6 linked regions of the Rattus norvegicus genome follow. The protein of the gene in region 4 purifies or fractionates together with the protein of the main gene of each other region. This does not show direct contact. Links are inferred from orthologs where the notes say so. Each region holds a gene or a part of one and is shown on either strand. Other genes may lie near its edges. The genes, in order: Bcl7a, Sin3a, Ss18, Smarcc1, Bcl7c and Dpf2.

Region 1 (5,215 bases), on a different chromosome or scaffold from region 4:
CACACACACACACACATATATATATATATATATATATATATATATATATATATAACATATATTCTGTGTCGAAACTGTGGTATAGCACTTGCCTAGCAGGCACAATTTCTGCACTAAACAAAAATTCATTCCCTGGGGTACAAGCACATATCTGATGGTCAGATACAGAGGGCCAAAAGTATGAGACTTCTGATTTACAGCACAGTTTTCAACCATGATAAAAATGGTTCTTTGACATATTTGTGGTGTGTGTGTGTATGTTGTTGTTATTTATTTGTTTTGTTTTGGTAGAGTTTGTCTTTGTAGCCCTGGCTGTCCTGGGACTCACTGCTATGTAGACCAGGCTGACCTTGAACACATCGACATCTGCTTGCTTCTGCCTCCCAAGTATTGGTATTAAAGGCGTGCACCACCACTGCCTGGCTCGACTGTTTTTTTTTTGTTTTTCGATTTTGGATTTGAGACAGCGTCTCACTATGTAGTCCTGGTTAGTTAGTCCTAGAACTACGTCCATAAACCAGGCTGGCCTTGAACTCACAGAGATCTGCCTGCTTCTGCCTCAGGAGTGCTGGAGTTAAAGGACTGGGCTACCAGGCCTGACCGTTCATATTTTAATTTTTTTCTTTTTTCTTTTTTTCGGAGCTGGGGACTGAACCCAGGGCCTTGCGCTTGCTAGGCAAGCGCTCTACCACTGAGCTAAATCCCCAACCTCCATATTTTAATTTTTTCCGCATTAGGATCCTGTGTTTAAAGTGGTTAAAAGATAAGCCTGGGGAAGATCCCACAGATTCTCACCCCCATCTCCCCACTAGTTCCCTCTACCAAACCCCTGCAGCACCCCAAACTTCAGGGGGGGTGCTGGGTACTAGAATCACAGCAGTCGCAGATGAAGTTCACGGCTGCAACCTTGAATCACCCCTTGACTCAGTTTCCCCATTTATGAAAGGGCTGATGTTGGCATCAATGCTCATTTTAGGTCATCTCTTGTCCCAGCATCCACCTGGACGAGCATTCGCTCTGGTCCAGTCTGTCTAGCCGCAACTGCACACCCACCTGTCCCTATCCTGGTTGACCGCGGTACATTCTGCCACGCAGCTCGGTCCTAGGGTAGGAAGACAGTTCCTCAAAAGAAAGTCCTTCTGTGTTGGACCAGTCCGGTTTACTTGCTGCTCCGGGCCAATACACTGCACTTCTACTAGGAGCCGTTTCAGATTAAATTGTCATTTTCAGAAAACCCCAAGGAGGTTGATCCGTGACTGGGACAACTTATCTCTACGGGAAAGAAAGTCCTGCGACAATGTCAATTGCCACCGGGCTCCAGCACCTTTCCTAGGACTGTAGTTTAAGCATGGGGAAGCGACTTTCTAGCTCGCACATTTTAACAAGGCAGCTGGCCAGAGACCGGCGCCTCAACTCTTTCTAAGATCACCTCGCGTCCCAAACCGCAGCCTCCAACTCCGAGAACTCAAGCGCCCGACAAGAAACTTGCACGATCGCGCCCGCGGCCACCAACCCGAGCCAGAGCACCCACGGCCTGCAGTCTGCCATCCCCAGGGTGTGTGTCTTGGACGGAGAGGCCCCCAATCGCACCTGCGGCCTCTGGGTGAGTCCGGTCGCGGGGCCGTCCCGCGTGCTGGGAGGTCGGGGTCACCCAAGATAGCTTCCCAGGGCGAGGTCCCCGAGGCTCCCCGGGGTGGGCGGCGGCGCCCGGAGGCCGCACTGCTGGCGGCCGCGCCGCTCCCCCTCGCTCTGTGCAGCTGCCGCCCGGCGCTTGCGCACTGGGCCCCGGGCGCGCGGCGGCACCAGGCTTTGTGTGTGCGCGTATGTGTGTGAGTGTGTGTCTGTGCGCGAGTGAGAGAGCGGGCGAGTGTGGCGAGCAGGACCCGGCGGGCGCGCTCCCCCAGCCTCTCTCTCCTCTCTCTCCCTCCCCGCTAGAACCATGTCGGGCAGGTCGGTTCGAGCCGAGACCAGGAGCCGGGCCAAAGATGATATCAAGAGGGTCATGGCGGCTATCGAGAAAGTGCGCAAATGGTAAGCCGAGGCGCCTGCTCGCTCTCTAGCTCTCCCCGGCTCGCTGCACCGCATCGCGGCCGCCAGCAAGCCGGGACCCAGCGCGCAGAGCGGCGGGGCGCAGCGGCCCCGGGCCCGGAGTTGGCGAGGGCGCGCGGCCGGGGTCACCTGCGCCCCGCGGGGGCTGCGTCCGCTGCCCAGGTGTGCTTGGCGCCGGTCGCCCACCTGGCGCGGCGGCGGAGGCAGTGGCGGTGGCGGTGGCGGCTGCAGCCCGGAGCCCGGAGCTCCGAGCTCGGCTCTCGGGAGAGGGGGGTTCGCAGCCGGCCCCAGAAGCCATTTCGTTTTTTTGTGCAAGTCACATGAAAGCGGCTTCCCGCGCGCCGGGGCCGTGATGCCGGCGGCGGCGGGCAGAGCGCGAGCTCCATTGTGCAGCGCGGAGCGGGCCGCCGTCTCCTCCCGGGGCGGCGCGGCGCCGGTGTCCCCCCAACACACACACACATACGCACACACACTCTCACCCTACGCCCCGACCCGCCCGCAGCTCCCCGCCTCCCAGGCCTCGGCGCCCTCGAGTCTGCGGAGTTTGCAGAGCGCGAGCCGTTTAAATTTAGCGCTTTGGGCAGCCTGGAGCGAGGGCTCCGGGCGAGGAAGGAAGATGGGGGCGAGCGCTAGGAAGGCGGTGGCGCGGCCCGGGCGCGGAGCACCCACGGCTCCCACGCGCTCCGCGCGGCACCCGGAGCTTGGGGAACGCGATGTTTGCAGCCAGAAGCCAAGTCCTGGGCCGTGTCTTGCCTTCTTCTAGCTGGAGCTGGTGTTTGTTTTGCGGAGAGAGCGAGCGACCGTTGTTTTTGTTCTCTGCACTGGGGGAGGAGGAGGGGACCGGGAGATTCGGTGTGGGCCGTGCGTGTTTTTCGAGCTCAAATTAGATCGTGCCCGGCGTGGCCTCGTTATAATTAGTAGGATGGAACATTTTCACGGCCCTCGTCGGGATCTGACTCCGAGGCGGCCCCAGAGACCAGGCCTGAGGCTCCAGTAGTCCACCACCAGGTTGGGTCAGACTTGTTGAAAACTCCCTGCTCCCTGATTTTAACTTTATTACGTTTTTTTTTTTTTCCCACGGCTTCATCTGGGTCCGAGCGGGAGAGGAGCAGCTGCGAGGGTGTCCCCAAGTGTCAGCGGCTGCTGGCTGGACCTGTCCTTTATAGGAACTGGCCAGGCCCCACTGCAGGCTGTTATTTTGGGGGGGTTTCATTTCTTGAGTCACGCCTCTGTTGTTGTTGTCTTTTTTTTTTTAAACACTTCTGGGGGTGCCTGTCTCCGGCTTGATGGTGTCACAAGTTAGCTGTCCTTTCAGAGTGAAACCCAACAAAAAAGGCAAGGAAAAAAATCAATAAAGTCCACGTGCTCCCGGGCCTCCTATGGAAAGGGCTGTCTGCGGATGGCCGGATGCCCGCCGTGGGCTGGGTTTGGCTCCAATGGGACAAAGAATTTTCACAACCGTGAGAAGGGGAGGCTTTCCAAAGTTGAGATCCAAGTCCTGGGTGCCGGGAGCTCCCCTGCTGAGCAGGGCGACTAGTGCCCAACTGGAGCCATTTAAAAATGGCAGAAACAGCTGCAGGCCAAAACACAGGAAAACAGCACAGTAACGGACCCTCTCCTGTGGGACTCTCAAGGGAAGGCTGGGGTGGTAGAGAACTGATATCAGAGCAAGCGTCCCTTCTGTCTGTCACCGGCCTGGACGGTAGAAAGCGGCAGGCTGGCCGGTGTAAGCTGCCTTTCTGGTCCTGGAGCTGTGACAGCTGCCGCTGGGTCTGCCAGCTGCTCTGCAGGGCGGGCAGATGGAGGGATGGGGCTTTCCACCCTGCGGGCCCCAGAGCAGCAGGCCTGGAGACTTCTTCCATCCCAGCGGGTTCACAGCCTGCGGAGCCTGGGAGTGCAGCGGGGGATGTGGCCGCCTTCTTCCCCGTAGTGCATCATGACCTCTAAAGACTTCAGGCTTTTTGGGATCTCCTGCTCGAGTTTCTACTTCTCTTCCTAGCTGTGACCTTGGGCAAAGCATGAAACTCAAGTTCCTTGCTGCTGTCAACTAGGGGACTCGGTGCCCCTTCCCCTTCCAGAACTGCCTAGGACTGGCTAGTCAGGTGGAGTCACTGGAGTACACAGGGGCCCTTGTAAACGCCCTTATGTAAGGTGGACTTTTGTAGAAATTTGGATCTGCTTCCCGTCCCCATCTTACACAGAAATGCAGGGGGCTTCCTTGAGTCACGGGATCTGGTCTTGGCCTGTCTGTACAACAGTGTTGCAATCAACCCTGAAGGCTTTGGGGTTGTTTATTAACTGTGGGCACCAACCATGCATTTCACCACTGGCTAAGGCATGGGGCTGCCATAATTAGCAAAGGAAAATACAGAACACCCAGGTAAATTTGAATTTCAGAAAAATAACAAAGTGATTTAAAAAAAAAAAAGTCCCCCCTCCCCCGTATAGTGATGTATGCCTATAACCTTAGCACTTGTAGAGGCAGGAGAATCAGGAGTTCAAGGATAGCCTCAGCTACATACTGAGTTCTGGGCTAGCCTGGTCTACATTCAAGCTTGTCTCAAAAAAAAAGGCAAAAATGAAAATGTCTACTGAGAATATTGCTTTAATGGTAGAATTTGAGCTTAATATGTACAAAGCTCTGGCTGTACACACACACACACACACACACACACACACACATACACACATATACAACCCTTTATGTAAGTATAGCCCATGAAATATTTGAGACACATACCAAACAGTTATCCATTTATCTGAAAAACTCAAAATCAGTGAGGAATTCTGTATTTTATTTTACTTATTTATTTCTTTTTTTCGGAGCTGGGGACCGAACCCAGGGCCTTGCGCTTGCTAGGCAAGTGCTCTACCACTGAGCTAAATCCCCAACCCCCTGTATTTTATTTAGAGGAGAGGCGAGGTGTCTGGCATATCATTCAGTCTGAAAGCCTAGGATGGTATTTTTTTTTTAATACTCTGATTGGCTAGCCCTACCCTTCCTCTGCCCTGCAGAAGGAGCCAGTGTGAACTATGGCCTCCCCACCCATAGCTGGCGGCTACTCCTCTTCTTTCTGTCTGGTGTCCTGGCAGGGCGGGTTGGTGGGGTGTGAGGTAGCCAGAAGATGACTGAAGAACAACATGGTAGGTCCCTATTGGGTCAGGC
Region 2 (5,093 bases), about 53 Mb from region 4:
TAACTTAGTCTTAAAGAATTTGCATGGTAAATGTCTTTACCCACTGAAGCCACCTTCACTTGTAAAACATGCATTTCAAAACAGAGATGTAACCCTAGCTGAGGCAAAAGCAAGAAAATCACTGAGTTCTAGGCAGGCTGAGCTCCAGAGCGGGTTCAGATAAATGAGTGGCCCATTTCACCAGTCCACAACTCAAAGCAGCCATGCGTGCACATACAATTAAACACATTAGCAAATGATCAGAATCGGAGTTCAATAAATATAAACCCTTATTACAAGAGGGATGCTATTGTTTAAAAAAGCAAGTACTATCTTTTTAAAAGAAGAATCAAAAGATATAAGTCCATACACTTTTAGTTGGGGAAAAAAACCACTAGATTACTGAAGGTCATGAACACAACCTCTGAATTCTGAGTAAATTTCCCCCTACAGCTACCCTGGATAGCCTTTCAGGATATTGGCTGCACTGTCAAGATGGCTGTGCTTTGCCAGGAATCTAATTAATACCGATCTCAAGTCTTAAAAAAAAGAAGAAAAAAAAACTTCTTTATGCGAACTATTAAGGCCTGAATTTAAAAGTATTAACATTTTTCAAAGCTATATTTCTGTTTTTTTCACACGTGTATAGATATATGGGTATGCACCTGTGTCTGGGTGCCTAGGGGCCAGAGGTGTCAGTACTTGGAGCTCCAGATACATGTTGACATGGGTGCTAAAAACTGAACTCAGGTTCTCTTAGATACTAGTAAGTAAAAATAAACATATAGTACTGATGGATGGAAATGTAAAAATAGAAAAAACAAAAACAAAAGCAAACAAATATAACTAGGTTCTTGAATTTTTAAAGCCTAGGACTTGTGACTCCAGCACACAATCTAGAATACACATTCTATAAGAGTACGAATTATGCCCAGCAGTGGCGGCACATGCCTTTAATCCCAGCGTTTGGGGGGCAGACAGATCTCTTGAATTTGAGTCCAGCCTGGTCTAGAGGGTGAGCTCCAGGACACCCAGGGCTACAGTTAAACTCTTGTTTCTAAAAACAAAACAAGAAAAACAAAAAAGATATGAATTAGGTCATCTGTATTTCCCAGACTGTGCTTCAAATGGTAGAATTAACTGAGGTTAGGCAAACTTTCCTCAAAGGCTAAGCATTCTCTACTACCGTTTTCAATGTGCTACATCTGTAAGACACCCAAGTTCTTATCTTTTGGCCTCCACCTCAATTCTGTTACTACTGCTGTTGTCACTTTTTTAGCTGAAAAGTGAATATTTAACCTCTTCATTATGTACGGCACAGGGCATGGTTTTCAGCCTCTACTGAACAAAGGACAAATCCAGAATTTAGCTTCAGAAATTACATATAAACGATGGGGTTAGAGACGGCTCAATACAGACTGCAGACTGCTCGTGCAAAAGGACCTAAGTTGGGTTCCCAGAACCCATGTCGGGTGGCTCATAACCACCTGTTAACTCCACCTACAGGGGATCTAACATCCTATTCTGGCCTTACACACGCACGCACACTTTAATATAAATCTTTTTTAAAAGTGGTTTATACATACTCATTCAGACATCAATACATAAATTAAGGATTCAGTGTTTACTTTTCATAAAAAGTTCTCTAAATAAGATCAGCTAACACCAACCCACCTAATAAGGTTACCTGTGCAATAAATCCACAATGGCCAAAGTAACACAGGTTGGGAGGTCATGCTACACATAGGTTTCATAAGGTTCAACCTACTTAGCATCTAAAAAGATCTTTAAGGACTAACAATTACATAAAACTAAAAGAGAACACAAAATTTTAAGTTACCTTTGTGCAGCTAAGCTTATATAACAAAACCTTCTGTAGGTTAAAAAAAAATCAAGAAATCAAAGTATTTTACTTAAATTAAAAAGAAAAATTCTGACTAGAGGAAAAAAAATCAGCCCTGGGGTATAACCTAGTGGTGAAGCAATACTTATGTGCCTTAAATAAACTCCGACACACACAATCATCTTCAAATATCATCTCTGCCAAAGACCAGTTTTAAGATTAAGAAGTAAATTCAATCCTTTCTCTAGAAATACAGTCTCAGCTTTATAAGGAGCTGGAACGGCAAACTGAGTTTAAAGTCCTGAGGTACCAAAAATGGTAGCAAATTTTAGCTATCTACCCATGGGTGCACAGCTTAGCTCTGTTAAGGCACAGTAGCTGAACACCAAGGGAACTCTAGGAAAGGTTGGCGCCCTCCAGAATCTCAGTCTCTGAGTACGCTGCCCCTCCCCCACCGGCCACTGGCGGGGAAGCATGGGCCCAGCACCAGCCGCACCCCACCGCAGACACTCCAGAGAGGACGCTGAGTTTCTCGTCCCAATAATTACAACTAAGAGGAGCAGCTGACCACGCTTCTACTCTCCATAGCTTTTAAGGCGCCATTCACGATGCGTGAAGCAAAGTAGAGACTACAGCTCCGGGCCACGATGCCCCAAGCAGAATGGATGGAGAAGCCACAGCAGAAAGTCGGGACACCTCCACCGCTCCCAGTCTACAAGCGGCCTTCCCACCTACAGGGACGCAGGGCGGGGCAGACACGGAACCCTGACCCCTGCCAGACGCTACAGCGGGCTTTCCCCAGCTATGCTTCACAGCTAAGGAGGCGGAAATCCCGGCGGGGGCGGGGCGGGAGGGGCGTGGCATCACAGCCCCGGACGCGCCTTCCGGCCAACCGGATCCCGCTAAGGCGGGGGAACACAGGCTTCACGCCCCCTCGCCGCCGCGCCCTAAAAGCCACACGCCGGGACCCTCTTCTCGTCCCGCACACCCCGCGGACCCAAAGCAGTACAACCCGTGTCCCCGCCCACAAGGGGAGAAGGGGCGGGGCCACGGCCGCGGGCCTTTAGTCCCAGCCCGCCCCGCCCCTTTCTCCACCACCGCACGCGCGCCGGCCCCGCCTCTGATCGGCGGGACTAGGGCCCGCCCCTCCGTGCGCACCGGGACTACGCTCTCCTCCCCCTCCCGCACTGAGTGCGGCTCCGCTCCGCCCCCCACAGCCACGCACGGGAAGCCGAGGTCAGCCCCCCCGAAAAACACACGCCCTCCAGTCCCGGGTTACCCGCCACCCAGCTGCTGGGCAGACCGCGACGCGGCGTGCTCTCACCGCAAAAGCTCCAGCCACTCAGCCTGCGCGTCGCTCCCGGCGTGAGCCTCGCACCCAGCACGGAGGCCCCGGAACGGCGCGGGCACAGGCCCGCAAGAGCGGACTGGCAACCTCCTTTGCGCCTACGAAGCGGTCACAGGCCTGGGTGTCCAGACTGGGAAGGAGGGAGGGAGGGAGGGAAACTCTAAGGGGGGAAGGGGAGGGGGGAAGATGGAGAAACCGTCTCTGCCGCCTCTACCGCCGCGGCCGCTTCTCTGTTACCCGGGAAATCCCGCCCACTCTCCCGGCCCGCCCCGCCGAGGGAAGGCTTAACCTCGCTCCGCCACGGGATATATTACCCATCCGTCAATGGTTTAGCCAATCACCGTGCCGCAAAGGCCTATTCCCGCCCTCTTCCCTCGCTGGGAGGGGAGAGCAAGCCGCTCACCTTCTCCACGCCCCTATTGGCGGGGAGAGTCCCTAACTCAACCCCGCCTATTGGAGACTGATTGCCGAATCCCTCCTCCAGGCTCCAATACTATTGGAGGAAGAAGGGTACCTCGTCACATCTCATTGGAGAGTCTCACATATCCCTCCCCATACCGCCCCAGCCACAGGCCTAACAAATCGGCTCCCGCCTCCGCCGGTTCCCGCATTGGAAGACTACCTTTGCTTCTCTCATAGCCCTAGGAAGGTAAGTAACCAATGTGGGGTAAAAATGTCCTTAAGTGAGGCCGACTCCACCCACTACACTGCTGGGCCAGGCTCCGCCCCCAAAGATCTGATTGGACTATCTTGGCGCCGGTAGGAGCCGCCATTGGACACGGCGCCGGTCCAGGAAGGAGACCATTCCGCCCTGCGCGAGGATGCTGAACCTTAGCAGTCCTTTTGTGGAATGTTTACACTGGAGACTGAAGCTCAGCGTTCCAAGGCCGGGACCGGAGATGGCGCGCAGCGCAGCGGTCGAAACCGGAGGCTTTGAGATTTGAAAAGGAAAAGGCAGTAGTATTACCACCATTGGAGGATTAACCAAAACAATGACAGAAAGCCTCGTCCTTCCTACCCACTTATTTTTACACTTTCACGGTCTTCTAAACACAGCCATCTGGAGCACTCAGCAGCTACTTTCAGCAAGCCGACTCCAAAATTAATGTCTGGAGCTCTAATCTGATACAAAAAACCCAGATATTACTAGCCAGTCGCCAGAGCCGGCTGCATACTGTGACACTGGGACAACCAGAATCCGCAGCCCTCAGGGGGCGGAGATAACCCAGCGGAGGCCTTTAAATGTCACCGCCTGGGCAAGCCTCCGGAAGGCGGAGCATGAGAGAAAAAAAAATGTATTCCAGGTCGGCCGGGTAGATCCAGGGACATTTTAAACTGGAGGAAGGGATGCAGAAAAGCTCACACAGACCACTGTATAAATAAACCTTGAGTGTGCATTCACATTCAGATAACGAGTAAAAATTCCAGATTGTGTGAAGGATATGGTCTTAAAAACGACTGTTCAAAGGGAAGAGCCTGTAATCGCAACTATCCTCGATAGGGCAGGAATAGTGTCTCCTAGGCCAGCCCCTTCAAAAAAAAAATGTGAGGGGTATCCATGGCCTCCTTGGCAGAATGAGTTAATGGCGGTCTCTAAGCCTTCTTGGTAGGTAACAATGCCTAAACATATAAAGTGCTTTGAGATACCTAATTCCTTTCATTTATTCACTAATAAGGCGTAGGACCGATGCCGACCTTGCTTTGGGGAGCCTTTTGCTGCGCCGTGTGAGGTTAGGCGGGGTTAGTCTTCCCGCGCTCTAGAGCAAAGGGAAAAAAATCCTCCCTAGAGTCGAATGTCCCCAAGAGATACAACACCGGGAACCGTTTCGTAAATCCAGTGCTGCTCTCCTGTAATCCTACGGAGACAGCCATAAACAAGTGTTGGCAACAGGTGGGTCTCAGTCCTAGGATGGCTTCACGCCG
Region 3 (4,501 bases), on a different chromosome or scaffold from region 4:
AACCAGTCAAGACATAAATCATTTGTTCTCTGCGTCATCCAAGGCGATCTTTCTAATCTGCTGTTGCGAGAGACTACTTCTGAGCAGGAGACTCCCACAGTGCTTGGGCACTATTCCCATGCACACACACACACACACACACACACACGCACACGCAGGTCCACACGTCACGGTTATCAAATCAGTAAGACCATACACATAATACCAAACAATACCAACTCAGAAAAGCAACCTCTGAAGCAGAGGCTGAAGCAGGTGGAAACTGATTTCTTTTTACTTGTTACATTAGTATTAAGGCATTTTGATATAAAATTGGCTTTGTTCTTTGTCATATACTTAGTAACTTCTAAAAAAGGGAGAGAGGGCATTTTCTGATGTAAATGAGTAAATTTGATAGAAAAGTTTCTGATGTGGTATTTCCCTAGAGAACACCAGACAAAAGGAAGCCATGTGCTGGGAAGCTCCTCTATGCCTCAGGACTTCCTCAGGGTTCCCTAAACCCTGCTACCTTGGTGGGTGGCAGGGGAGTGCAACAAAAGCCAGGATGAACAGTACATTAAAACTTAAAGCCTTTCAATGACTGTCATTTACAGTAAGCAAGGAATTTTCCAGATGGCTTCTCACCCTGTTGTGGAGGTCTATAGGGAGGCATCTGTCTCTGGCCCATCATGTGACTGCCTTGGTTAACTTGACCCATCAGCCCCATGGGCGCCTGCTGTCCTTGGTAATGCTGCGCACCTCCAGGTGGCATGCTGTACTGCTGAGAAGGAGGCTGCTGGTGCATCATGGGACCTGAAGACAGAAAAACATCATCACGCGGTGTTCTGGCACTGCTGCTCAACATGCGATGACAGGTACAAGACTCTTACCACAGAATACACAAAGTGTGTACTCGAACAAGGGACACTGACTGCAAGTATAAATGAGTCTGCACAAAGCTCACAGGCCCACATTTATCTGCAAATAAGGAAAACAACCAAACCCCAGTGGAACCCTCAGGTCCACCAGAGCACTCCAGTCATTTTTAAAAAATCAACATGGAAACAAGCTCTTTCTGGCATATACATCTTCTATCCGCATCATCTCACCGGCTCTCAAGGCAAAAGCATCTTACCACAGCATGAGGAAAGCGATGAAAATAAGACCGACAGAAGAAACCCACTTCTGGGTTTGTTTCCTTCTGTATGTAGAGAGGATGATAAAGACTTATTCTCTGTATGTGTGTGAGTTTGCATGACTTATGCACGCTGCATACATGCAGGAGCCCAGGCTAGACCAGGGAGGGAGGGCATCTGGAATGCAGAAGTCACAGGTGGTGTGAAGGCTTGGGACTGACCTCATGTCCTCTGGAAGAGCAGCAACACTTCTACCCACTGAACCATCTCTCCGGCCCTACACTCTCATTCCTTTTAGTACACATTTATGCAATAGTGGTAAGCAGAAACCTACAGAAGCACTTCATAAACATATCAGTTAAATTTTATAAACTTCAATTTTATGCAAAATTAAAAAAACTTTCCATTTCCCAAACCTTTTATAAGCTTTACAAACTAGAAATATATAGTGCTTTTTCTTTTTCTTTGAAATATCTTTTTATTTTACATTCTTTTTTTAAGGATTTACTTTATGTATGAGTACAGTGTTGTTGTCTTCAGACACATCAGAAGAGGGCATCAGATCTCATTACAGATGGTTGTGAGCCACCATGTGGTTGCTGGGATTTGAACTCAGGACCTCTGGAAGAAGAGTCAGTGCTCTTAACCCCTGAGCCATCTCTCCAGCCCTACAGTGCTTTTTCTTAAAAAAGAAATTTTTTTGTTTTTTTTTTGTTTTTTTTTTTTAGTTTTAATCATATGTGTACAGGTGTTTTGCCTGCATGTATGTATCTGTGAACGATTTGTACGTATGCCCAGAGGCAGGAGAGGGCACTGGATCCCCTAGAGCTGGAGTTACAGACATGACAGCTGTCATGTGGGTGCTGAGAAGTGAACCAAGGTCCTTTCCAAGAACAGCTCAACCATCTTTCCAGCCTCCAGGATCACGGTGCTCCTTAATAAATAACTAAAATCCTCTCACCTTGCCCACCCTCTAACTTCCTACTCCCAGTCTCCCCACCCTAAAAACTACCAGGAAAAGGTCTGTAGTAAAGCATGGGCTCAGAGACAGGTACACTCTACAGGGTGAGAGTTAGGAAAAGGTCTGTAGTAAGGCATGGGCTCAGTACACTCTACAGGGTGAGAGTTCAGCACCACTGCTGCAGCACATACAGTGAAGATCTGTCACGTGACCCGCAGTGGCCCTCGAATTCTGTGTGGCCGCCTAGCAGTGTCAGATGCTCCCCGAGGGCTGCCGGGTCCTTAAAGAGCAGAGTCCCACACTCTCAGCCCGCTGACTCGAGTGTCTGTGTGTCGTCTTGCAGTCCTGCTTACATAGCGCCAAACTTGGGGGTGAGTTAAAGTACAAAAGGGAAAGCTGTGCAGGCCACGATGACACAGTGAGTCAGAGGCTCACTATTAATTTAAACAAACATCTAAAAACCAAGCAGCCACTTCCTTAAGTTTCCAGGGACAATGTGAGCACAGAGCTTTACCTCCTCAGCAACGTGACCATCTGTTCCGTGGGAAGAAAAGCTTCTTCAGAGCTGCTGTCTCCCTGAGCACCTCTGTGTGTTCTGCTTTTGTCTAACTCTTCTCGGGTCTCTCCAGTTTTTATCACTGTATGTAGAAGCTCTCCAAAGCCCTGGAGCCCTTCAGCATGGAAATGAATTCTTCACAGCAGGAGGAAGACGGCTCAGTAAGACTGGCAAGGAGGCAGACCCTGGGCGCACTGTAGGTACCTGCAATGCAAGCTGTCACCTGCACTTCCCAGGGCACCCTGGCAACCAGGGAATCCACAGAGCAAGCTTGCTAACAGTACCTGGCAAGATTACAAATGTCAAGCCGAGTTCAAAGTGCACCTCTGTGCCTGTCCTTTTCACCTGCACATCTCAGAAGCATTGGGTGTAGTGGCTGCAGTATGGGTGTGAGCCGTGCACATGTAGAGTCGGAGGAGCCCACAGGATCCCCTAGTTACAGACAGTCATGAATTGCCATGTGGGTACTGGGAGCCGAACTCGGGTCCTCCAGAAGAACGGGTGATCTTAACCACTGAGTTTATCACTCTAGTCATGAACTCTATGTGATAAAAACATTTTAATGCTGTTACTCATAATTTATTGTCAACCTGACTGGGCCTTTTAAATTTCATTTTCAAGAAATGAAAGGTTTGCCTTATTTTTATTTTCAAAAACTGCCCAAAGGACTCCTGACTTAGAAGTTAGGCTGTATCTGAATATTGGAGCCAAAATGAAAGGCATCGCTAGGGGAGGGGCTCTCAAATATCTATCACAACAAAATTCTATCTCACTTCAAAGTCCTTCCAGGAGAGAGGAAATTCCAGCACAGGGCACAGCCCACACAACCGTGCCATCTGAGCCCTATCTCTATCTGCCTGCAGCTCAGTCACTACCTTCCTGAATTCTGTCACTGCCCCCAAGGCCTCACAGCACTCAGGATCAACGTAAATCCAGAGAAAACAGGAGAGGAAGGCAGCACACACCCGGCACTCTGCACACGCCCTTGAAGGCTTATCCACGAAGTTTAAACGTCAACTCTGATTATCTAGGATGCATATGGTTTTCCTTAACACACTAACGGGAACAGAGCAGTTCAGTGAAAGGCCGCCAATTCTACGGATGGCAGAATACCCCAGAATAACGTAGACTGGCAAGGTGAATGCAAATAACGGCAGCAAGCATCTGTCACTTCACAGATGTCCCTTGTTTCTATAAATGTCGATATTAGATATACGACAAAGTAGATAATGCATACACAAGATATAGAATACCTCATTAATCTAAGAATTTTTCATATATTTTTCACCATTTCCACACTAATCCACTTTGAATTTTATAACTTACTACACAGTCTACAATAACAATTCTACATTAAACACAGAAAATAGTCCAAAATTGCTATACTTTATTACTGAAATCCTGAGCTCCAAAATTCTGTCAAGAAGCAAATGTGAGTGCTTCTCATTATGTAGCAGGCCCAAGGCAAGGAGCCTGGGTGACGGACAGACGTGGCAGACATTGTAACCATCTCAGGGGCTTACACTCAGACCAAAGAACTTACGGATGTTATCAGTTAAATTTGGGAAGAATCTTAAATTATTTTTTTTTCTTTTCTTTTTTTCAGAGCTGGGGGCTGAACCCAGGGCCTTGCGCTTGCTAGGCAAGCGCTCTACCACTGAGCTAAATCCCCAACCAAATTGTGTTATTTTTTTAAAACATTCTTCATACATAGACATACACACGCCCACTCATATCTTCAGACACAAACCACCTTTTCCGACATTCATTTATATTAACCACTTCTTGATGACTGTGAGTCTCAGCCCTACTGACATTCACCAAATTTCTGGAGGTCCCAAAGAGGGTACTGCCACCTGTGAGTACAGG
Region 4 (4,501 bases):
ACACACACCCATACATACTACACCTATGGCGCACACACACACACACACACACACACACTCACACACACACCCATAAATACTATACCTATGGCACACACACCCATACATACTACACCTATGGCACACACACACACACACACACACACTCACACCCATACATACTACACCTATGGCACACACACACATACTCACACCCATACATACTACACCTATGGCACGCACACACACACATACTCTCTCACACACACACACCCATACATACTACACCTATGGCACACACACACTCACACACACATACTCTCTCACACACGCACACACCCATACATACTACACCTATGGCACACACACACACACTCACACACCCATACATACTATACCTATGGCACACACACACTCACACACACTCACACACCCATACATACTACACCTATGGCACGCACACACACACACACACACACACACACTCTCTCACACACACACACCCATACATACTACACCTTTGGCACACACACACTCACACACACACCCATACATACTACACCTTTGGCACACACACACTCACACACACACCCATACATACTATACCTATGGCACACACACACACACACACACACACACACTCACACACCCATACATACTATACCTATGGCACACACACACTCACACACCCATTCATACTATACCTATGGCACGCACACACTCACACACACATACTCTCTCTCTCTCACACACACACACCCATACATACTACACCTATGGCACACACACTCACACACATACACCCATACATACTACACCTATGGCACACACACTCACACTCACACCCATACATACTGAGGAACTGATACTGTTTGGTTATCAGGCACTGTTTTTAGCTCTTGCTTTCTCTGTACCACGTCCCCCTTGTCCACCTCACAAGAATGTGAGAAAAATATATATAATAAAATGTAGAGGCACATTATATTGTTTTGATTGCTTGTGTGTAAGCAAAGCCCGTGATTTTGCACACTGACAGGAATATAAGCATCTCTAAAGCGAATGCTGTACTCATTAGTGACGCACCAAGCTTCTCCGGCTCATCGGGCCCGGTGCCTGCAATGCAGCTGCTCTCCAGGCCGTAGGTAGGATCCACCTTCCCAGAGGCTCTTGCAGCTTCCTGTACTTTCTTGACATGCGCTTCCACCAATTCCAGGGGTACTTCTTCTCGGACACGAGAAAACTCCTCTGAGTCAAGATCACAAAGACAATATCTTAATTTTGCATAGATATTTGATCCTAGTGTGACAAAGTAACATCAGTTTATACAGTGAGCACACTAGGGAAAATATAAAATGAATCAATCCAATCACTTCCCTAGGTTATTATCCAAAACATAATAGTGCCTTCTTTATTATACTTTGAAAAGTTGTTTAAAAATCTATTAGAAACAAGTAAAATTTCAGTCCTGATTTCACCACTCTGCTGGCAAGACTGGTAACTATAAAAACAGCAAGGATCAAACAACCTTAAAAATGTAAATCCTACAATATAAAAGATGCCTGGGTGAAATTAAGTTATTGAAAATAAATTAAGTAGCTTCCATGCTATATCTCTACCAATATCCTAATGTCATAAAACACTTACTTTCCTTTATACACGAGTGTGTATGTACATGTATGTTGGTTGAGACAAGATCCACAATAGTCCACGCTGAACTTTAAACTCCTGATTCTTTTGTCTCTTCCTCTAAAAAGCTGCAATTTCACAGGTTATGCCAAATTATCTAGCTGTTCTTCTAAATCCACAAATATTCTATGGGCCAGCAACATGGCTCAGCCAGAATGGACATTTGTGGCCAGGCTGACAATTCAATTCATGAGGCACACGTAGTAGGACAAAGCTCACCCTTGCACTGCTAATCCTGACCTTCAGAGATATATCATGGTAAGTGATCTTCCCTCTCTCTCTTTCCCTCTCTCCCTCCCTCCATCCCTCTCCCCCTCCCCTCCCTCTCTCACACACACAAAATAGATTTTTAAAAGTGAAAGAAAAACAAAGTCCTTACAAATTATTTTCTACATTTTGATGAAGCACATTATCTTTAGTTTTTGTTGTGTGACTTATAAGAGAGAAATGTGTATTAACACAGCTGATATTCTTAAAAGCATTTGTATGTATGTGTGGGGGTGAGCTTGTGCCTGGGTTTAAGTCTGCTGGTTTAATCCAGTTGACATCAACAAAGATTCTATCAGTTCTCCCTCCACCTTATCTCTGAGTTACTATCCCTGTCAGGATGACTTGTGAGACCATCTATTCTGTCTCCCAGTATAGATGCTATAAGCATATACTAGAGCTTCTAGCTTTTACACAGGCTTTGGAGATCTGACTCAGGCCCTCATGCTTGCACAGCATACACTTTATATAACTGAGGCAAATGTTAAGTTCATGGCTAATCATATTTGAATATAAAGTCAGACTTTAGTGCTGGAGAGGTAGCTTTCACAGGAAGTACATACCCAAAGCTGCTTTGGCTGCAGCTGATGCTACTCGAGGGTCAACCACGGATGCTAAAAAGGCAACAGTACTCATCACGGGGTTTCCTGACTGGCTGAAAGGGACAGGCTGGTAAGCTAGTGGCCCAAGAGAAGCATCTGAATTTTCAAGGTATGGGTCCTCAATGGGAAGCCTCAAAAAGTGGAGGATGCATTCATCCTGAGTACGGCTTCCAACATGTTCCGAGACTTTATTCCAATCATCCTTGTACATCTCCAGAGCCTAAGTGAACACAGAAACAAAAGGGTGATAGCATCAAATAACAAGGAAGGAAAATAGAAGGGAAGAAAAATGAAGCCAGTGCCCTTTTTCCCCCTTCTGTGTGACAGGATCTCACTATGTGATACAGGCTGGTCTTCAACTTCTACTAACCCTGGTTCACAGGCTCAAGAGTGCTAGGCATGCAAACCCAACCTTGCTAAGATTCTGCAGACAGAATTCTAAAAAAATTTGGGTAGTGATCTAGTAGTTATGGTGGCGCATGCCCTTCAACCCCAACTGTCTGTAAACTGAGACAAGATTTGAAGATAACAGAGTGGACAAGATCCTATTTCAAACTAGTAATATAAATAATTATTTCTACATTAAGGTAAAAGGTAATCTGGCAGTGACCCTTATAATAAGTTGTCAATCAGGCAACAAAACAATAATGAAATACCTGAACATTACAATATTCGTTTAAACTGGATCACTACTCTTTACATGAAAACTTTCAAAGAATCTACTCTGAGATGGTGGCTGAAGATTACCACGACAATATCAGATGGGCTAAAAGCGTAAGAGAAAGCAAGAACAATGCTTATATTCCTCTCATAGCAATGAATAACTTTTTTAAAAAAGATTTATTTTATTTTTGAGTTCACTGTAGGTGTCAGACACACAAGAGGAGGACATCAGATCTCATTACAGATGGTTGTGAGCCACCATGTGGTTGCTGGGAATTGAACTCAGGACCTCTGGAAGAGCAGTCAGTGTTCTTAACCACTGAGCCATCTCTCCAGCCCGCAATGAACAATTTTAAAGTGGAAAAATATTTGTAACATTATTAAAATGAAATAAAAATTTGAGTAAATTATGTGTAAGACCAACATGATACAAAGAAAATCAACGTGAGAGAATGAAAAGATGGGCAGAAAGACAGACAGAAAGAAAGGGAGGAAAGAAAGAGACACAAACAATAAAAAGGGGCAAGTGAGAAGGCTGAGAGACGAAGTCACTGTTTAGTAACCCACAAGATGTTAGAAGAGAACAGACTCCAATGTTGCCCTGCCTTCCACATACACATCATCATCTACCCATACAAACACACTAAGGTCTACAAGACAATGGATTTTTAATAAAAATTGAGGCTAGCAGTAAAAGATTGACAGGACAGAATAGAATGAGTCATAAAATTTATTAGAGTTTTGGTAAAAAGTCGTAAAAACCTTCAAAACAAAAACGAAAACCTGAATCTATATGATTAAATACATAAAATAAATAGTAAGAAAATATAACAAATGAAATAACTTGTCAACCTTTTAGGGCTTGCTACTGTTACTTCTCTCTGGTGGCATGATTTCCTGATACCCTTTTTTGGGAAATGGGAGTGGAGTGGGGAGGGTCTGGAACAGAAGCAGGAGTGTGTGTGATCTAGGTAAAAGCTTTGCCTTACAGATTCACAAATCTGAAAAAGGTTCTCTCTCCTACCTTCAGTGATCTCACATTTATCTGGCTTTTAAGCTGCCCTACTTAATCATGGAAGGCAAAGGACTTGCAATCTTCAAATGCTAGGTTAGAGGGTGTACACCCAGAAACCTGCCTTGTAAGCTAGTGTTTGCTCTACATAACTGCTTTCAGGGACAGTGTTAATAGTAAACAATGCTGCTGAGCCTTACTGCTTCTCAGTTAAGGAATCAACATAAATATGTTGATAATCCCTGCCTGCTTCCTGCCTAAAAGAAAAGACAACCCTAGCACAGAAGCCACC
Region 5 (4,977 bases), on a different chromosome or scaffold from region 4:
TAAGTCCTTAGGGGAGCACCAAGATCATTTCAGGCTTCTAGTGCTCTTCTATCAGCCATGATCAGCCCTCAGGGTGGTGTCTGCAATCCTCTCCTTCACCCAAGAATCCAACCTCCAGCTAAGCCTTCTGTGGGCTCTAGGTCCACGTCTCCCTCCTGGAGCCTAGAATGAAGTCTCCCTGCTTCCCCAAAGCCTCCAGTCCCCACAAGGCCAGAGTCCGGACTCTGGCCTCTCTCACCTCGGCTTCTAGCAATTCTGGAACAGGCTCCTCCTTGGTCAGCTTTGGGGGTTCATCAGTACCTCCTGCAGGTGTGCCCCCTGGATCTGTAACACCAAACAAAGAGACACTTCCTGAGCAGCTACTCTGTGCTGAGAGAGTGGACCAGGGGCAAAGGAAACAGACAGGCACTGGTCACACATGATGACATTGTGGGGGCAGAGGGGTACCAAGTTGCTGAGGAAGGAAGACTCAAGTTGGATCTTGTCAGTAGGGAATGAGCCAGGAGGCAAACGGAGGTAGAGTAGAATTTAGGCAGATAGAAATATGTGCTTAGTGACCACAGACTCTCAGTCATCCGCAGAATGGAAATAGTGACAGTAACACCATGAGAGGCTGCTGTGTGGATCAAGTACACGGCACATAGTATGTGCTCAAGAAGTGCCAGCTAGCAGTTTCATTCATTCATTCATTTCTGTGGTACTAGAGATGGGGCTTAGGACCTTAGGCATGACAGACAAGCACCTGCACTGGGCTGCATGCCCTGCCCCATCATTTCATATTAGCGAAAGTATTTGGGACAACCTAGGTGTGGTCCCAAGCCCCATGTCATGGTGTTCTTGACAGGGGAACAATTTCAGTAGCAACAGTTTATAAAGGCCTCTGGTTCAAACGAAGGAATCAAAGGCCACGGGAGCCAACGAAGGACACAAAGCAGGAAAATGGCCGATTGGAATCTGCTCTAAGAAAGCTGTAGCATGTGGAGGCGAGAGCCAGTGCAAGTGAGAAGTGAGAAGGGAGCGCCAAAGGCACGGGAGTCAGCCATGCCTGGGAAGGGGGGGTGGACTACAGGAAGGCCGAGGAGCTGGCGCACTGGCTCTGCAAGTCTGGGCATCTTTCTCTGGATGTTGGGCTCCTCGTGTATAAATAGGAATCATCATAGGATCATTGGTTCCATAAAATGTCAGTGAGGGTTAAATGAGAAAACAAACCACAAAACATTGAAGTGCTCAGAAGAATGACTAACAGATAAGTGGTTCTGTCAGCTGTTAATCTACGGTTACTAATCCCTAGGGTTATCAGAATTATTTAGTTGCCGAACATCTATTATGCGTCCCACATGAACCAGATCAGTGTGTCTGACATGAGATGGTAACAGAGAGGCAATAAGCAAGCAAAAAGTACATTTACATAAAGTTTTCAGATGGCGACACGCTCCCTACAAATCCAAGATGCCAAGGAATGAGCCAGGCACAGCCAGAGGTAATTTCTGCCAGGGTCAGGAAAGGTTCCCTGAGGGAGGCAGGACGGGGGAGGGGGGGGGGGACACAACACAATATAGAAACACATACAAGGCGGTAGGTTCAACTCTGGTGAGGAGAGGACTCCCAAGAGCCACATGGTCCTACCTCTCTCTTGGCCCAGTTGTGGGGGCTGAGTATCTTCTGTAATCACCTCTGGAGGTCCAGTTGGTGATCCAGGGCGACTGGGCTGGGGCGTCCCCCCAGGGCTGGGCTCCGTGCCCTTTTGCAGTGAACCTTCGGAATGGAAACTCTGATTGCTGTTCTCATCTGCTGAAGCAAAAGTCAAGTTAGTTGGCCAGAGGACCCCAGTGGCTTCTTTCAGCACCCAGCCCCCCCACCCCTATTCCAGAATCTCTACATACCATTGAGATCCAGCAGGATGAGGGGGCCACCCCCTCTGGGACTGGTGCCCCTACCACGCCTCTCCCGGCCACGAGATCTCTCTGCCCCTCCTCCTGCCCGCCGCCTCTCCTGAGGGTTAGAGAAGTAAGATCAGAGCTAGTTTGTCCAGGGAGCTCTTACAAAGTCCTTCAATTCAAATAAGGAAACCTAGGCTCAGAGAAGCAAAAGGTGCTGCCTCAGGTTGTGTAGGCCGAGTTAGGTCTTGAACTTGGAGAAAGTGTGTGTGTGTGTGTGTGTGTGTTTGTGTGTGCGCGCGCGCGCGCGCGCGCGCTTCCGTGCTCATGCCCCCTAATAATCGTTACCATCTGCCTGGGCTCCACAGTGGAGTCTCCAAGCCGACTGAAGGTGGAGGCCAAGGGGAGGGAAATTGCTTGAGGTTGCACAGATGCAAGGCATGTTGGGGGTTGGGCTTGCTCACCTCCTCCTGGGGATCCACCACAGGCACCCACTTGAAGATTCGAAGGGAAGTGTCACCCACAGTCACCCAGCGCTTCTCCCTGTGGGAGGTCAGGAGACTGGGTCAGGGAGGCCCAAGGGTGAGCCCCACAGACTGGAGGTCAGGGAGGTGTGCTAGGGTACGGACAGCTTCGTTTACACGGCATAGAAGCAGAAAGAGCCCTCTAAACCCCAGGGCAAAGCATAAACGGATATAACTTGGAGCTGCGGTTTTGCAGACACCTGGGGCACTCAGCAGGGCGCCACCAAGGCCTGCCCAGGCACTCAGGCAATGAAGACCCCGGGCCAAGCTTGCGAGAGTGTCAAAAGCTTCAGGGGGCGGGGCATAGATGAGGGCTCCCGCTCAGGGAAAGCACCACTCCGGACCACGCTTTGTAGACCTCTGGGAATTGCCAAGGAAAGGGGGCGCCCTGTCGATTTAGATCACAGCTGGTGGGCGGGGGCAGCGGGCCAGGAAAGGGCGGACGCGTTTGGAGGAGGTGGCTTGGCTGTATCCCTGACCCGGGGGCAGCGCTCACCATCTCCGGACCTTCTCGATGGTCGCCATCACCTTTTTGATGTCATCTTTGGCCCGGCTCCGGGTCTCGGCCCGCACGGTCCGGCCGGCCATGCTGGCGGGGCTAGGGCCGGGACAGAGCCCGTGGTGGGGCGGCCTGCGGTCCGGCGATCTCAGGCTGCGCGCCAGGCCCCGGCGCCGCTCTTTCGGCCTGCCGTCCCTCCGGGAGTTGGCCGCGCCCTCCCTCGCTCCCCAACGCCTCCGCGCGTCCCCGCCTGGCTTCCTGAGACCGCGCCCCGCCCCGGCCCGTCCCCGGAGCGGCCCGGGCGGCGCGGGCGGCTAGAGCCCCGGCCTGGAAGCCCGGCCAGCTCCGCCCCGGCCCGGGCCCGCCCCTCGGGGCGCACGGACGCACAGCGCCCTCTGCCCGCCGCGGAGAGGGAGAGCTGGGGGGCAGCGGTGCGGCTGGACGCGCGCGGCCCGAACGAGGCGGTGCGTTCCGGCCACGTGGGCACAGGGGTGCGCGAGAGGGACTGTCCTGGTGTGCGTCCGCGGCGGGTGGGCGTCCCTGAAATGCTCTGTGTGCGCGCGTCTGCCCTCTCCAGGCTGTTTGATTCTAAGCTGCCCAACTTAACTTGTTCATTCATTCATTCATTCATTCATTCATTCATTCATTCATTCATACATTCATTCATTCATTCATTCATTCATTGAACAGTTCCATTAACAGCGCCTAGTACAAGCCAGACTCTGCGAGTGGAGAGCCGGCCTCCTCAATCAGAATGGCGGGAGTGAAAAAGACCATGTAGATGAAGTAGCAGAGGAGCAACTTGCCATTCCTTGAATCAGGGTGTGTAATTGGTAGAGATAGTTTGGAAAACTGGCAGTCTTCCATTGAAAAACTTATGCCAACCCCGTCTTCCAACAGTTTCCACTCCCAAACTAGCAACACTCAACAGAAGGAATATGTGCTGCCTCTTTTTTGTCAACTCGTCACAAGCTAGGGTTATCTGGAATGAGGGAACCTTGATGGAGAAAACGCCTCCATCATGTTGCCCTGCAGGTAAGTCTATGGGGCATTTTCTTTTTTTTTTTTTTTTTTTTCTTTTTTTTCTTTTTTTCGGAGCTGGGGACTGAACCCAGGGCCTTGCGCTCGCTAGGCAAGCGCTCTACCACTGAGCTAAATCCCCAACCCCGGGCATTTTCTTGATAATAGTTGTTGTGGGAGAGCCAGACCACTGTAGGCAGTGCCACCTCCGGGCACTTTAAGAAAGCAGACTGAACAAGCCTTGGGGAGCAAGTGAGTAAGCAAAGTTCGTCCAAGGTTTTGCTTCAGTTCTGGCCTCCTTCAGTTCCTGCTTTAAGTTCCTGCCCTGACTTCATAACAGACTATAACTGCAAGCTGAAATAGATGCGGTGTTTATCACAGCAATAGAAACCTCACTAGGACGAAATGTGTCTGTATGAACACCAAGATATGTATACTGGGAAGTTCGGTACTCTTCATAATAGCACCAACCTGGGAGCCACTCAACAGAATGGAATGGAAAACCAGTTACAACCTGTTTATACCATGAGCACAGACAAAACAACCAGAAAAACCAAAGTCCTGCTATGTGCAATGGTGGGGATGGGTCTGCAACAAAAGAAGCCAGATGTGACAACATGCATTAGATAATTCTACATCTAAGTTCAGAACACAAGTACATTCATGGTGTTTTCCGGGAGCTTGTCACACTTGTCTTTAGTCTGTCAAGATGGACATTTATTACTTGTAATTTTTCTTGTGTGTATTATAGTTCAGCTAAAGGTTTACTTAAAGAAAATGAATGCTGTCAAGATATCTCGGTGAACAAGGGACTTGCCACAAAGCCTGATGACCTAAACTCAATAGATGACCCCACATCATAGAAGAGGGAACCTACTCCTGACAGCTCTCTGACCTCCACACACCTGACATACCATACATAGCCAAAATAAATGTCGAGTTTTCTTTAAAAAAAAAAAAAAAGACCAGGTTGGTGGCTCACACCTTAATCTCAACACCGAGGAGGCAGAGGCAGGTGGATCACTATAAGCTTGAGGTCAGCCTGGTCTAATAACAA
Region 6 (5,063 bases), on a different chromosome or scaffold from region 4:
AGTACTTGAGAGGCAGAAGCAGGTGGATCTTTGTGAGTTTGAAGCTAACCTGGTCTACATAGTGAGTTCAGGTACAGCCAGGGCTATGTAGACAGACCCTCTTTCTTTTTTCTTTCTTTCTTTCTTTTTTTTTTTTCTTTTTTTCGGAGCTGGGGACTGAACCCAGGGCCTTGCGTTTGCTAGGCAAGTGCTCTACCACTGAGCTAAATCCCCAACCCCGACCCTCTTTCAAAAAACAAAAACAAATACAAATTTTAAAAGCCAGTGTACTGGGGTTGGGGATTTGGCTCAGTGGTAGAGCGCTTGCCTAGCAAGCGCAAGGCCCTGGGTTCGGTCCCCAGCTCCGAAAAAAAAAAAGAAAAAAAAAAAGCCAGTGTACTGTAGGAACACTTGACATTGTTAGCTGTCCATTAAACACTTGTGTGTACTTTGGGACTTCCTTTTGATTGTGGTATAGTTGAAGGTATGGTGCCTAGACAAGCTAAGGAGGGAAGGTCCTTCTATTTCTAGCTACCTCAGTGTAAGGAGGTGCCTGAGGTCAATGAGTTCAAAGCTTCAGGTTACCACTCTGACACAGGAGTTCCATGTATGGCTGGTGTCTGTCCCAGAACCCAAGGCAATAATGTCCTCTACCTGTGGCTCCTCTAGCTTCAGCTCAGGTCTCGGGTGAGACTGCATGAGTAAGAATGTAAGAAAGGTGCCTCTCTTTTACCCTACCCCACCCCGCCAGGAGAGAAGCTACACCAGCACTGAGGCTGCAGGAAAGTGAGAGAATACAGACTCTGCCAGGGCCTGCCGTTAATACTGCATACAGCTGGTAGCCATGTGTAAGCTTTGGGGATCTGTGTGGTTTCAATATGGTTGGCCCAGGGAGTGGCCTTGTTGGGGGAGGTGTGTCACTGTGGGGGTAGGCTTGGAGAGACCTTCCTCCTAGCTACCTAGAAGCCAGTCTTCTCCTGTTTGTCTTCTGAAGAAGATGTCGAACTCTCAGCTCCTCCAGAGCCATGCCTACCTGAATGCCATGATGATAATGGATTGAACCTCTAAAACTATAAGCCAGCCCCAATTAAATACTGTGCTTTATACGAGTTGCCTTGGTCATAGTATCTCTCCACAGGCGTGGAAACCCTAAGATAGGGTTCCATTGAGCCAGGGTGTCAAGAAGTAGGTCAAAAGAACTGTGGGATCCTGGAGTTGGAGTTACAGACAGTTCTGAGCCTCTATGTAGTGTAAGCTTAGGTTTTTCAAAGCCTACTTTATTTAGGGTTCTTAAATGCTTCAACCTCCCTTTTAGCCCACCGACGAGAGGTAGGGAAAAAGGCAGATTAATAGGCAAAGGGGGTTGCGGACAGAGGTACCTAAAGGACTGGGTACCTCCCTGACCTTTCCAATCCTTCCCTGTGAGTCAATCATGTGTCTAACGGTCAGCTAGGCAGGACACTGTTGCTCCTTCTAGCTCATCTGCCTGGCCTATTCACTTACCTTTCTCACTTTCCAACCAAGCCTTCCTGAGGCTCTACTAAATGGAGGGGAGACAGATCTCCAGAATGAGCTGCAGAGGGCGCATAGTTTTCCAATCGCGCCTGCGCATCGGGATCCCCTAGGCTCCAGGTCGGGTCGTTTTTTTTTTTTTTTTTTAGCGCTCGCCCTCGTGAGCCTGTGCGTGCGCGCACCCTCGGGCTGCGCCTGCGCAGAGGATCGAGGACCGTGTGTCCTGAGAAGGCTTAGCGCCTGCGCGTTGCGGGCTTCGGGGCCTCCCGGCCTGAGGGAGAGGAACTGGGAAGATGGCGGCTGTGGTGGAGAATGTAGTGAAGCTGTGAGTGGTCTTCTTTTTTCTTTTTCTTTTTAAAAATCTCTCCTGTACAGGAAATCTTGTAATGGGGCCTGGGAGTAGAGAGGGAAGTGCGGGAAGAGAAAAGACAGAGAGAAGGACATGCCCGGGAAGTCCTTGCTGTGCGACTGCTGGTAGGGAGGGCAACAGGAGACTCTGGAGAAGGCGCTGGGCTTCTTTTGGAAACTTGTGGAGACCGGGAGGGGGGCACACTAGAGTCCCCGACGAGCGTCCTTCTCGCGGGCCGAGCCCCGAGCGGAGCTGCGGACTGCGAACGAGAGGCTCACGGTCCCTGGCCCCTCAGTCCCGTCGCGCTGAGGCCGGCGGCCCTGGGAGATCGGGGTCCCCTCTCCGCCCACCGCCCTCCCTGGGACTACAGGCTCCGCCGTACCTGCTGGGATCCTAAGATTTAAGCAGCCCGGTGACATTAACCGGGAAATCCGGGGTACACGAAACTAAAACTGTTCTTGGGAAGAATTGTTCCAAGAGCAGATACAGAAGGGAAAGAACTTCTGGGAGTGGGCAACTAGACCGGAACCAGACGGCCTTCTGGTCCGCAGGAGCCCCGAAGTGGGCGTTCTCTGTACCCTAGATGCCATTGTGCGGGTCAGATTTCGAGCAGAGCTGAAGTTAACGGTTGTTGGGAAACACTGGGAACGGGGACTGGCCTGTTAGCCGCTTCCCCCGAGTTAGAGGTGTTTGGGGTTTTGATGAGTCTCCTCCTTCCTTCTTGAAGAAGAATCGAGAGTTTTGGAACGGGGTTAAAAATGCCCGTTGGGCTTAAGAATGGCCTTTTCTTCCTTTAATGGCCATGTTGGGCGTGATGTAAGAATAGAAAAATGGAAGTGTTCAGGTGTCCAGTCAAAGCTTTTGGATTCTGGATGGCAAAGTAATGGTTTAGGAACTATTCTGGAGGACTTTTCGCAGCTTCATCTGTCTTTGTCGTGGGCTGAGCCCCCATAGTCCCAAGAGGCTTTTTTTTTTAAGGTTAAGTTGCTTCTCCCCCGCTGCTTGGAGCCCTTTTCTTCGAGAATGCTTTCCCACCTCCATTAAGCTAAGTGCCTTCTCTTGTGGCTTTTTTTTTTTTTTTTTTTTTTTTTTTACTTGCTTTTGGCTTCATCCTGCTGCCTCTTTCAACCACCCCTCCTCCCAACACTATTATCCTTATGATCTGCCCCCTCCGGCTTCCCCAGCCCTCTTTAGGCTGACATTTCCCTTAATTTAGAAATGAAGCTGTTAATTTAACATTTTTATGGTTCTCCTTCTAGACTCAGCTGTTAGGTCTTTGTTACTCTGCCTTTCTTTGTTGACCTCCCCTATTCCTGGTGGAAGGGGAGTTGTCCTGTGCCCCCACTCCTACCCCACAGGTTTCCTGTGAAAAGAGGAGCCACAGCTTTTACCCTGGAAATCTTACTTTCTAGAAGAACGTGTTGCCTAGGTTTTCAGAATTACATGTTAATGGAGCTCTTCATATTGAAAGATGGTCTTGCGGAGAATGGAGTTGCCAACCCATTGGTGTAGTATTTTAAGTGTTGGTTCCCATTTAAATAGAGCAGTGCTGTTCCTGCCTCTTTAACCAGTCAATGGTTCCTAGTGTCAGCGAGGTACTGAGTTGATTCTTCCCATTTCTAGGTGCAGAAGACTAGACATCACTAACACGTACCTCACAGAACTTTCCCTTTATAGAGAAGACTTTGATTCTCACACCATTCTCACTTTGGAAAGATGCCTTTCTGATACTTTCTTTTTTATTATAGTGTGCTTAAGTCTTCTGGCAGCTGACATCACTCATTGAGGGAAAGACCACTAGTTCATCTTTTTCTTTGATTTTTGCCTTGTGAGAAGACTTTGTCTTAATTTTCTGCTTTTCTCAAATACATTATCATGGTTGACATAGTCTTTAGAGTATAGAGTAAATACTAGTCTAAAAAATAACCATGACTACCAACTAGTTTTTAAAACTTTATATGAGTTATATAAGGCTATCTGTAGAATAACAGAAGCTTGAAATTTTTTGCTACAGAGTCTTGAATTCATGTATTCTCCCCTTTGCTGCTCTCTTCACACACACACGCACACGCACATGGGCACACATACATGTACATAATTTCTTCTGGCCATTTCTCCTACTAGAGCACTTGCTTCACCTTCTAGAATCTTACCTGACCTGCAGGAGCCGATTGGACATTCCAGTCATTCCTCCAGGCCTTCTTCAGCCTCTGTGCTTTGACTTTGCAGTCTTCAGCCCCACTGGGCTGGTCCTTCCTTCCGTTTGACTTCCAGTGTCAGCATCAATTCCATCAGCAGAAACAAAGGAGCTGCTGCAGTCAGCCTTGTTTATCGGTTTTTCCTGTGTGGTAAGGACAAGGCTGCCTCCTAAAGGCGAGCAAATGTGAGCCTGCTCTCTTCTGTGCTGTGCGCTCCAACACATTCATACCTTAATTATAGTTATTACTGCTCACTGAATCAACTCAGGCTGTACTTGTAGTGTTGCTGTGTGTGTGTTTTTATTAAGCTATGCAGTGGTCTCCTGTGACTGCTCAGTGAAAGTCCCTATCAGATCCTACGTTAGTGCTTGTCCATACAGCTTTAGTTGTAGGTATTGGCCACTGAGACTGAGACCTTCTCCCTCTTGCTTTTCATGCCTCCTTATCCCTACTATCTCCATCAGAATCCTGGCAGGCCAGAGATCATCTAATCTAACTGCCCCAATCTATAGGAGAGGAATGGAGGTTCATACAGATTAACCACATGACTGTGTCCATGTGGTGCCTGTACCAAAATCAGTCTTTTTACTCCCAAATCCATCCTGATGTGATCTAGATGACACCTTCATGGGTCCTGGGGATACTATGGGAAAGAAGTCTCTTCTGCCCTCAATGTTTTTTTTTTTTTTTTTTTTTTTTTTTTGTGGGGTGGGGGTTGGAATGTGGCTCAGTTGGTGGAATACTTGCTTAGCATGCAAGAGATCCTGGTTTGATTAGCGAGCACCACATAAAACTGGATGTGGTAGTGCATGCCTTTTGGGGAGGTAGAGGCAGGAAGATCAGAAATTCAAGGTCACTATTGACTGCATATGGGGTTGGAGGTGAGAATGAGCTACACGAACCACTATTTTTAAAAAAAAAAGATTGAGGGCTGGAGAGATGTCTCAGTGGTTAAGAGCATTGACTGCTCTTCCAGAGGTCCTGAGTTCAAATCCCAGCAATCACATGTGGTTCACAACCATCTG

The links.
Region 1: the proteins of Smarcc1 (region 4) and Bcl7a purify together in Homo sapiens (affinity purification with mass spectrometry; 4 studies listed by BioGRID and IntAct, counting the BioPlex papers as one, with this or other methods). This does not show direct contact. The link is inferred for Rattus norvegicus from reciprocal best matches to the Homo sapiens genes SMARCC1 and BCL7A.
Region 2: the proteins of Smarcc1 (region 4) and Sin3a purify together in Homo sapiens (affinity purification with western blotting; 3 studies listed by BioGRID, with this or other methods). This does not show direct contact. The link is inferred for Rattus norvegicus from reciprocal best matches to the Homo sapiens genes SMARCC1 and SIN3A.
Region 3: the proteins of Smarcc1 (region 4) and Ss18 purify together in Homo sapiens (affinity purification with mass spectrometry; 4 studies listed by BioGRID and IntAct, counting the BioPlex papers as one, with this or other methods). This does not show direct contact. The link is inferred for Rattus norvegicus from reciprocal best matches to the Homo sapiens genes SMARCC1 and SS18.
Region 5: the proteins of Smarcc1 (region 4) and Bcl7c purify together in Homo sapiens (affinity purification with mass spectrometry; 4 studies listed by BioGRID and IntAct, counting the BioPlex papers as one, with this or other methods). This does not show direct contact. The link is inferred for Rattus norvegicus from reciprocal best matches to the Homo sapiens genes SMARCC1 and BCL7C.
Region 6: the proteins of Smarcc1 (region 4) and Dpf2 purify together in Homo sapiens (affinity purification with mass spectrometry; 9 studies listed by BioGRID and IntAct, counting the BioPlex papers as one, with this or other methods). This does not show direct contact. The link is inferred for Rattus norvegicus from reciprocal best matches to the Homo sapiens genes SMARCC1 and DPF2.

What each region holds. Positions count from the first base shown.
Region 1 is NC_086030.1:38,901,357-38,906,571, reverse strand, and holds the start of Bcl7a (B-cell CLL/lymphoma 7 protein family member A), read left to right. Parts: upstream 1-1,801; 5' UTR 1,802-1,939; coding exon 1,940-2,031; intron 2,032-5,215.
Region 2 is NC_086026.1:66,379,973-66,385,065, reverse strand, and holds the start of Sin3a (paired amphipathic helix protein Sin3a), read right to left. Parts: upstream 3,284-5,093; 5' UTR 3,147-3,283; intron 3,059-3,146; exon of another isoform or gene 2,800-3,058; intron 1,037-2,799; exon of another isoform or gene 931-1,036; intron 1-930. UniProt on the Homo sapiens protein: Acts as a transcriptional repressor. Corepressor for REST. Interacts with MXI1 to repress MYC responsive genes and antagonize MYC oncogenic activities. Also interacts with MXD1-MAX heterodimers to repress transcription by tethering SIN3A to DNA.
Region 3 is NC_086036.1:6,061,145-6,065,645, forward strand, and holds part of Ss18 (protein SSXT), read right to left. Parts: intron 793-4,501; coding exon 625-792; intron 1-624. UniProt on the Homo sapiens protein: Appears to function synergistically with RBM14 as a transcriptional coactivator. Isoform 1 and isoform 2 function in nuclear receptor coactivation. Isoform 1 and isoform 2 function in general transcriptional coactivation.
Region 4 is NC_086026.1:119,048,152-119,052,652, reverse strand, and holds part of Smarcc1 (SWI/SNF complex subunit SMARCC1), read right to left. Parts: intron 2,755-4,501; coding exon 2,496-2,754; intron 1,225-2,495; coding exon 1,063-1,224; intron 1-1,062. UniProt on the Homo sapiens protein: Involved in transcriptional activation and repression of select genes by chromatin remodeling (alteration of DNA-nucleosome topology).
Region 5 is NC_086019.1:191,751,393-191,756,369, forward strand, and holds the start of Bcl7c (B-cell CLL/lymphoma 7 protein family member C), read right to left. Parts: upstream 3,250-4,977; 5' UTR 2,990-3,249; coding exon 2,898-2,989; intron 2,421-2,897; coding exon 2,342-2,420; intron 1,993-2,341; coding exon 1,884-1,992; intron 1,792-1,883; coding exon of another isoform or gene 1,789-1,791; coding exon 1,627-1,788; intron 325-1,626; coding exon 239-324; intron 1-238. UniProt on the Homo sapiens protein: May play an anti-apoptotic role.
Region 6 is NC_086019.1:212,624,960-212,630,022, reverse strand, and holds the start of Dpf2 (zinc finger protein ubi-d4), read left to right. Parts: upstream 1-1,733; 5' UTR 1,734-1,784; coding exon 1,785-1,816; intron 1,817-2,124; exon of another isoform or gene 2,125-2,276; intron 2,277-5,063. UniProt on the Homo sapiens protein: Plays an active role in transcriptional regulation by binding modified histones H3 and H4. Is a negative regulator of myeloid differentiation of hematopoietic progenitor cells. Might also have a role in the development and maturation of lymphoid cells.